2 linked regions of the Drosophila melanogaster genome follow. Changing the gene in region 1 together with any one later gene gives a genetic interaction. Each region holds a gene or a part of one and is shown on either strand. Other genes may lie near its edges.

What was found. Genes that interact genetically often act in the same process or in processes that back each other up.
Region 2: of CG10324 (region 1) and KLHL18, changing one enhances a phenotype caused by changing the other (phenotypic enhancement), as found in Drosophila melanogaster (one study listed by BioGRID).

Annotation. Positions count from the first base shown.
Region 1 is NT_033777.3:16,644,548-16,648,864, reverse strand, and holds CG10324 (uncharacterized protein), read left to right. Parts: upstream 1-1,860; 5' UTR 1,861-1,937; coding exon 1,938-2,074; intron 2,075-2,123; coding exon 2,124-2,845; intron 2,846-2,918; coding exon 2,919-3,691; 3' UTR 3,692-3,793; downstream 3,794-4,317. Other genes in the region: CCT3 (chaperonin containing TCP1 subunit 3), read right to left, coding at 1-164, 231-730, 816-877, 936-969; Arl6IP1 (ADP-ribosylation factor-like 6 interacting protein 1), read right to left, coding at 4,114-4,317.
Region 2 is NT_033777.3:12,006,937-12,012,046, forward strand, and holds KLHL18 (kelch like family member 18), read right to left. Parts: upstream 3,499-5,110; 5' UTR 3,438-3,498; coding exon 3,306-3,437; exon of another isoform or gene 3,229-3,305; coding exon of another isoform or gene 3,208-3,228; coding exon 2,354-3,207; intron 2,292-2,353; coding exon 2,033-2,291; intron 1,960-2,032; coding exon 1,477-1,959; 3' UTR 1,427-1,476; exon of another isoform or gene 1,165-1,426; intron 993-1,164; 3' UTR 540-992; downstream 1-539. Other genes in the region: GCC185 (GRIP and coiled-coil domain containing 185 kDa), read left to right, coding at 3,995-4,024, 4,087-4,186, 4,247-5,110.

The DNA.
Region 1 (4,317 bases):
TCTCGCCCTTCTTGTACTCCAGCGAGCAGTCAAGCAGCACGATGCGGGGATTCTCGATGAGGCGTCGCATCTTGGGATGCGTCACGTCTTTGTTGATCATCACGCCCTTAAGAACACACGACTCCTCGATGGCGCCACCCGGGATCTTCTCCACCTTGGCATAGCTGTGAAAGTAACAAAGTTAAAATTATTTATTCAAAAATAATATGCATAACAAATTTCGTTCTTACCGTTTAATGTCTACCTCCAGACGGCCGTTCTCACTTAGCGTCACTGTCTCGACTGCGTCCAGGGCAATCTTGACGGCAAGGTCGGACCACTTGCCAATGAACTTGGTGCCCACACAGGCCTTGACCACATCGGCCATCTTGGCCTTATCCTTGACGTCCAACTGGATGCTAAGCTGGGACTGCAGGTGGCCGACGATGTCCTCGAGGGCCTCGCGATAGGCGCGAATGATAACAGTGGGGTGGATCTGTTGCTGGAGGAAGGGCTCGGCGGCGGCCAGCATCTCGCCGGCCAGGACGATGACCGATGTGGTACCATCGCCAACCTCCTCGTCTTGTGTGCGAGCAATTTCAATCATGCTCTTGGCCGCCGGGTGCTGCACAGTGATCTCACGCAGGATGGCGTTGCCATCGTTGGTCATCACGATGCCGCCCATTGGGTCCATCAGCATCTTCAGCATGGCCTGTGGCCCCAGACATGTGCGTATCACATCGGCGATGGCCTGGAAAAAGACGTTTTAATCAACAGATGGTCGGAAAACGCGAGAACACAAAAACCCAAGACCCAGACATGTGAGTCACGCATACCTTTCCGGCTTGGATGTTCTCCAACTGCACTTTGCGGCCCGATTCTCTCTTTGTGTTTTGACCTGTCGGCGGGTAATTCGATTGCAATTGGGCTCTACGACGTGCAAATTTCATACTCACTCAACACGAGTATTGGCTGCTGTCCACCGAACATCTTTCTGGCTGTTTAATTTATTTCTGCGTGAAAACAATTGAACTCGTGCTGGCGCTGCCGCTGTTTGAAAGAGAATGAGTGAGGTTAGAACCGCCGATGACACATTATTCGAGAAGGTTCGATAGGATATTGAGCGGACCGGCTTGTTAGTTACTTCTGCCAGTTCCTTCTTCTAGTTTCTTTTCTTTCCTCACTTACTGCTAACTGACTTTTGCGATCGCTTATAAGTTTAATTCAAATTCTCCACAATTCGAAGCAGCAGCTCTCTTAAGAATCGATATCGAGAAACAGTATACTTACACTATGCAGCTTTTGTTATCGATGTCACAGAATTACATTCGTCATAACTGCGATTTTTTGAAGGCGCCTAACTTGGTTTTAAATTTTCCACCCTGAGGTTTAAGCGAAATCAAAACATTAAACTTGTAACAATAAATAATATTTTCTACGGTGTAAGTGATACTGGAAATTAATTTATATTACGAATGGATTTTAAATTTATGTTATATAGCATATTTCTATCACATCATAATTAAAATGTGGAAATTTTGAAGCCTAAAAAGCCTAACCAACTAAACTCAAAAGAAGTTAAAATATAATTTATGAAAATTGTATCACCTTCGAAAAAGAAAATGTTGGAGGATATTCTGAATATAACGGGGGAAAAGTGATTACTTGGAATGATGAGTTACATAAACAGCGTCGAACTTTTTAATATTTGAAGATCCTGTGCTGTATTCAATAAAACTGCTCAAAACGTATTAAATGGATTTCATGGTAGTTTTTATATATAAATGGAAAAACAAATAAGTTTTGCAAATACTTTAAAAGTGTAGTGTAAGCGTTTCATAAATTAAATAAATTATCGATATCGATAACAAACCGCGAGTCAGCTGTGGCCTGTTTGTTTACGATACATTTCGGCTTCAATTTGTTTTTAATAGTTATTAATTTTTTAACTAGACAACATGGAGGCCAAGAAGATATCTTTTGGCTTTAGTAAATTGTCCAAGAAACCAAACATTCTGCCCAGCAAGCAGCCGAAAGAGGAAAGCAAGGTGGAGTTGATAAAATGCTTGGAAGGAAACGAAATCATGCCAGTCGAGTAAGTTAAAATATCTTGAAATAGTTTTATACTCATATGTAATATTTAGCGAAAAGGTGGAAGCTGCTCCTCTTACCATCAAAATGATAGGCATGCAGAAGACTTCGTCCGCTTTGGCGAGTCTGATGAGGAGGCGGGCAGTTCTGCTGGGCGAGGAGGAACCGGATCCAGAGGAGGTGACTCCAGTGGCTCAGTCTATAGCAGAGGTCACCGCAGGCGGTCCAACGGAGAGTCTGGAACAGAGAGCAGCTCGGGAATTGATATCTGCCATCCAAAATAACGGTGCCGAAGGCCTAGATGACCAGAAACTTGTCCTGCCCGCCCTAAGCGCAGACGAACTGCCTCTCGATGGTGCCAAGGAGGCAACACTAGATGACTATGACAACATACCGATACAACAATTTGGCCTAGCCATGCTGCGCGGCATGGGCTGGGTTGATCCACCGCCAAAAAAGAAGGGCTCAGGACCCATCGATGATGCCCCCTTTCTGCGACCCAAAGGCATGGGCCTGGGAGCAGATAAGGCGCTCAAACCTAAAGCTCTACTGGTCCAGCCGGAGAAGAACGAGGTACTGGAGATTAAGAAGCAGGCGTACGTGCGCATTCTGGGCGGAAAGCAGAAGGATCAGTATGGCCAAATCCAAGGTTTTGATGACCATGCAGGGCGAGTAATTGTCAAAATGGCAATTGGAGGGGCCAAAGAGGCGTTCAACGAGTTCCTTTGTCAGCCCGTATCCCGCAAGGAGTACTCTCAGTATGGCAAGTGCATAAGTAAGTGGAGCCTGGAAAATGCAAATCCTTTATATTTGTGACATTTTTATATTTCTTTTACATTTACTTTCAGACACTGCCAAATACGAAGAATTCAAAAAAAATGAAAACGAGCATGGCCAGATTATTGTGAAGCAGGAAAATCCGTCAGGAAGAAGGGACAGAGACCGCAGGGAAGAAATTAGATCAGACCGGGATGAAGCTCAAAATCAAAAGAGTTCGAAGCCAGGGGACCAGAGATCTAGTAAAGAAGACTATCGCATGAAATGCAAGGAAGAAGATAAAAGGTCTTACAAATATGAAGACAAAAAAACGTACAAAGACGAACATCGCAGGACGTACAAAGACGAGCGAAAATCGTACAAGGAAGCCAAATCTAACAAAGAGGAGGTGGATCGAGAAAAGAAGTATGTGCGGAGTGGTAGCTCCTCTGTATCTAAACGCGAGGAACGTGAGCGTCGTCGTTCGCCGAGTCCCAGAGGCAGAAGCCCATCTAAGTCGAAGCGGGAAGACCGTGACCAAAAGCGTTCGCAAAGTCCCCGAAGCACCAGAAGAACAAAGAGTAGTTCAGACGAGGCAGACGATACGGGAGAGTCCACCGAGAGCGACTCCGACTCTGCATATGAACGCAGGAAGCACAAGAAGAAATCATCCAGCCACAAGTCAAGAAAACACTCAAAGAAGTCCAAGAACAAGTCGAGAAAGGCGGACAACGACTCCAGCTTAGAGAGCGATGACAGCCTCGGTGAAAACCATCGTCGTCACCACAGCAAGCACAAAAAGAAGACCAAGAGGAGCAAGCATGTCAGGTCCCGCACGCGATCAAGGTCAAGAGACCGTCAGTGATTGATCTATTTAGTTGAAATCTTTATTTAAATATAGTTCATTAGACGCTTAAGTTCCTTTTTTTATCTTACTTGGGATTATCATAAATTTCAATTAACTCACAAAATAATCACAAAAATGCCTTGTCTTTTGTTGCGCGTTTTTTTCTCTCTCCGTACGCCTCGTTTCGAGAATACTTCTGTCTTACATGTTACAAACTTATAGTAGGAGATGTGATGGGGCCAGAACCACGGATTTGCTAGTTTTCCGAGTTTTTTTTTTCTGTATGCGCTGCTCTTATCTTTTAAGATATTTATAGTTTCAAATTCAATGCGCCTAATGTGTGATTTAGTGATGCGATGTGTGCATAATGGCAAGTAGATGACTTAGGCATGTTTTATATTTTTGGTCAAATGGTGATGAGTTTATCTGGTTGCTTTCCTTTACTGCAGCTTCCTTTTGCCGCACTGGATCTTCTCGTTAATAATCTTCGAGGCCCTTTGGGTGATGGCCTTAAAAATGTCCTTGTTCTGTAGTCCTGGCCACATGAGGATGAGTAGGGTGGCCAAGTACATAAGCAGTAGATTGTTAATGATGGCTCCAATCCAGGCCATAGCCAAAAGACCCAAACTCATGACGATTACAAA
Region 2 (5,110 bases), 4.6 Mb from region 1:
CCAACTAAACGAGCTCCAGTTTGGTGGTGATAAACAATTGTCCCCGGTGATGCAACAAATATTTACTCCAACCATTTGGTAAACATAATTAGCATTTAATTAAAATAAAATTGCCCATCGATAGACAAGCAATTTGTGATTTGATTATCAAAATCAAATAAGACCGCCGCCACAAAGCCTTTTCGCTTGTGCAAATAGCCGTGCCGCTGCAGAGCCACATAAATATACATGTAGCCATTGGCAATCGGGAACAGGACCGGATCGTATCCGGATCGGCGATAAGGTCCTCCATCGCTGGAACCATCTGATAACTGCGAAATATGTACGTTAAGTGTGCAATTGATTGGATTATGACCCTTTGCTGTGCGTATGGCATTTTATGGGTCAGTGATAGACGGCAAATTGATTTTGTTTTGGTTTGGTTTCGTTAGCCTCTATTTTTGGATGCGCCATTGCCACCTGTTGCTCCGAATTAGTTTTGCTGCCGCTGCACTTTGAGCAGGTGGTGCAAATCGAATTTAAAATTGCATTCCGCGCGTGGGAGGTGTACAAATATCAAGGGAAGAGATACTCCGCATGTTCAACTGAGATGCAACGAGGGAAGGTACATTTATTCGTTACAAAATAAGTAGAAAATTGTAGATAGACATTGGGACTTGGGTAATAATATTTAATCATTTTTAATTAAAACTGAAAGTATTTTAGGGACAATAAACAAGTGCACTGCCTTCCATAAAGGCCTGCTTATTGACCATCAACTTTTTGCGCTGCCCTCGCCATTTTCGCCTTTTTGTCGCTCAGATTGCTTTGTTATTTGTCAACCATTTATTATTGTTCAAATAAAACGTATCCGCCGCCCATATGGATCGTCGAAACACAATTGATTTATACGATGTGCAAAAGGTTGACAGTCGTCCCTTTACTGTAAGGAAATTACTGAACTTTAACAACCTTCTAAAACATTTCAAGATTACAAATGGCGAGGGTAATGACTGAAAATGAATACAAAGAATACGTCTTTAGATAACTTTAATGTTAAGAGTCTAGTTCAATTTAAATTAAATTAAATAAAATATGATTTAAATTGGTGTGAAATTGATTTTAGTTATACATAGGACTATTTTACCCGTCTTACAAAAATAAACCAACCATTAATAAATTTTTACATAACATGCGTTATACATGTTTTTATTTGGAGGATTAATATTGTAATGAGTATTTAAGGCTAGGCGTAGTAACTAAACAATTACATAACTGGAATGACAAAATCTATAGAGCTGTGAGTAGTATATGAACAATTTTGATAGAGCTGCAAGAGCTGAGCTGAGTTGCATACGAGGCGGCCGCACGAGGTGCCACTAAAGCTTGGTTACCCTCAACAATCATATCTAGGCTAAACTATATCGATTCAATTCACATAAATTACCTAAGACGAGTGTGGCTAGAGAAACGGGTTTGGCAGGCGAATCGAGTGGGTTACTCGATCCGTATGACCCCGGCTCCGACACCACCACTGTGTGCGCACATGGGCGGCATAAAGGTCCATTTGTCGGTCTCCGGATCGTACACCTCGACTGTAGACAAATTTGACTCGCCATCATAGCCGCCGATGGCCCACAGTTTGCCCATGTTGGCGGCCAGAGCCACCCGCGAGCGTTTGCAATTCATTGGTGTCACCAGCTTCCAGGTGTCCGTCTGAGGGTCGTAGCACTCTACGGATCGAAGGAATGAGTTGCCGCAGTAGCCGCCGCACACGTATATCTTTCCGTTCAGCGTGGCCACGCCCAGTCTACAGCGACGATTCAGCATGGGCGACATCTTAACCCAGACATCTTCGGCCTGGTCGTACCGCTCCACCGAATCGAATATGGACAACCCATCATGACCGCCAAGGGCGTAGACGTAGCCGTTCAATTGGGTAACTCCACCAGCCGAACGATATTTCATCATTTGAGCAACCTTCGGGTAGTGAAATTAAAGTTGGATCAGTTTTCTTACCCATCTGGGTTACATAGAATGTTTGTTTACTTACAGTCTTCCAAGTGTTAGACTTTGGATAGTAAACTTCAACGGTGTTGAGCGACGTGACGCCGTCGTAGCCGCCGCACACATAGATACAATCATCCAATGCGGCCACGCCCACGGCGCTGCGTTTGCAGAGCATGGCACAGCCCTGGGACCACTTGTTTTTGCGCGGGTCGTAGACCTCAACGGTGGACAGACGTTCGGTGCCATTGAATCCACCAAAGGCGTACAGCTTGCCATTCAGAACGGCCACACCCACGCGAGATCTGTCGAAAAATTGGCAATTAGTATGGGATAGAATAGAAATAAATGCTCCTCGCACACTCACCTCATCATGGACATTTGTTCGCCCATTTTCCATTTTTTGGTGAGCGGATCGTAAATCTCGACCGTGCTCACAGATTCCCCAGTGCTGGCCAGTCCTCCCACGGCGTATATTTGTCCGGTAAAGAACTCACCGGATCTCTGGCGCGTGCGAAAGCTCTGCAGCAGACCCCTGCGCTCGGGCATGAGGTGAAAGTCCTTGGCCTCGTCTAGGAGATCACGGCATTGGTGCGAGGATCGAATGAGTTCCTCGCGGGCCACACGGTCCGCCAGGAACTGAGGCGAGAGCAATGGCAAACGCACTGCAGCCAGGACCTGAGGAAAGAGCTCAGAGCGCTTGTCTTCTGCGTACTTGACCCACTTCATGCAGGCCTCGAAGATGACCTCCTCGGTGCGTACGTTGAGTTCGTCCCGGCGCATCAGCTCCAGCAATTGTTCGCAGTCCAGGGCGAGAAACTCCTCCGACTGCGAGACTTTGGCAAAGTTTTGATCAATATACTTGTCGGCAGCGTCGATTAGCTGCCGGCAGATCATGGAGTCGGCGAAGGTGCGGATTCCCAGGACATTGTGCGGATGAAAGCGGGAGATCAGGAAACTGGCACAGGCATCCCGCACGTTGGACAATTGCAGGAAGCTGGCGCCCACCATCAGGTTCTGCACATTCTGGTTGTCGATGCGCACTTGGCCGCTGTAAACATAGTTGATCAGACTCTCCAGGGCACTTGGCTCTATGGCGCTCTCCTTCATGGTGATCTCCTTGATCCGACTCTCTGCCATGTTGTTGGTGAACATCGCATAGAAATACGGGATGGTGGCCGCCAGCACAACGCGGTGCGCTGAGAAGGTCTGATCTTCAACCTGCAATAATTGGGATGGCATTTTATATTTAGACGCTAGATAATGAACGTATCTCTGAGCTGCGGGTGATTGAATGCCCCAGTCTGCACGCAAACAACCTTTAGGGTGACATCGCACAGCTTGCCCATCCTGCGGATTTCCTTGAACAGGGGGAAACTCTCGCCGAATAGCTTATCATGCTTGTAAACAAAGTATTGATCCTCCACTTGGCTATTATCACTCAAATCCATCACTTTAACGGATCAAGAAAATGATAAACAGTAGAGATGCCAAATGTTGCTTGTACTGCAGAGCTAGTGGTGGTCAGTGGTGAGCGGTCACATTAATCGATAGTTGAGGTTCCTTCGATAGTTGAACAACACCAATAGTAGTGAAACAAATTTATTGAATCATATTGTTTAATTTTAAAGGTAACGTTCTTGGACCAAAATGTAATTTCATAATACTTATTAAAAAGTTGAGCCCTTTTTATGCAACAGTGATAATTAAATCCTTAAAAAGCACATATTTTTAAGACAATATTATTCTTTCATTTAATTTTAATTAGTAATTTTTCCGTTTTTGCGTCACCTTCTTAAAAAAAGACGCTCATCACTAATTGGGCGGTGATGACAGCCCTATCAGCTGTTAGTGTGGCTGGAGTGTTTTCTTCGCTCGGATTGATTAAGGGTCCAAAAACATTTTCGAGTAATCTGGGTCGCTTGCTAATTGGAAAACCACTGATCTGAGTTAAGACATAAATGTTTGGACCGCTATTAAATGCAAGGATACGAAAATAGCAAGTAACATGGAAGCCGCATCACCGAGGGAAACCCAGGTGAGTAAAAAGGTGTCGCTAGAATTGATGATGACGTCTCATCTTGTTATTTGCATTTGCAGAAGAACCCGAATCCGATCGAGGCGCTGAGCAAAGATGAAATCATCAGCAAATACAAAGGCCTGCTCAACATCGCTAAAAAGGCGAAACAGGCAAAAGATGGTAAGTTTGATGGAGAGTTTCAGGGAATCTTCCAGAATAATGCAAGCCACTCTCTTTCAGAACTCACCGAGGAAAATCACCGACTCAAGGATGCCCTTAAACGGGCGGCGGAGAAGCAGAGCAGCCTGCCAGCCATGCAGGAAATGGTCCAGGACTTCACCGATAAGAACCTCATCCTCACCGAGGAAGTGAATAATCTGAAACGAAAGACCAAAGAGGATGCCGATCGACTGACGCAATTCGAGATCGAGAACGAGAGCCTAAAGCGCCAACTTGGGCGACTGAGTGATGAAAACGATGCCCTCCTTGCCAATGTGGATCGCATGGAAAAGGCTATGCAACAGGTCAATGCTCTGGGTAACGAGCAGCGCAAGAATCTGGAACTTTTGGAAGTGGACATTGCCAAAATTAAGGAAGCGGAGGCGGAAAACGCTAGTCTTCGCCAGCAAGTCGCCACGATGGAAGAAGAGTCGAGTGTGCTGCAGCAAAAGTACCAAAACATCAAGGAACTTAACTCTGAGCAACGCAAGAAGTTTAATTCTCTAAAGGACCGCTTCATTGATGTACACCGCAAGTTGAAGAACCTCAAGGAGTGCAAGTGCGTGCTGCTGGAAACGCAGCACGAGTACGCCGCATCCGTTTCCAAATGGCAGGTGGAGATTATCAAAGCTTCGCAACTGTTGTGCGCAAAGATGGCATCCCTGCAGGCCGAGAATGAAAAACTGAAGCTGAACAATGGAAAGTCAGACAATAATCCTCAAACAATTGACACTGGAATTGACCGCAAGCGCTTGCTGCAAAGAGTTCAGGAAATGGATCGGCTAGCCAAAATAGTGAAGCAGAAGCAAAAGAACCAAAGGAGCAATTTGAATGTGGAGTACCTACTTAAGAAGATAACCGCTCTCGAAGAGCTTGCAGTCATTA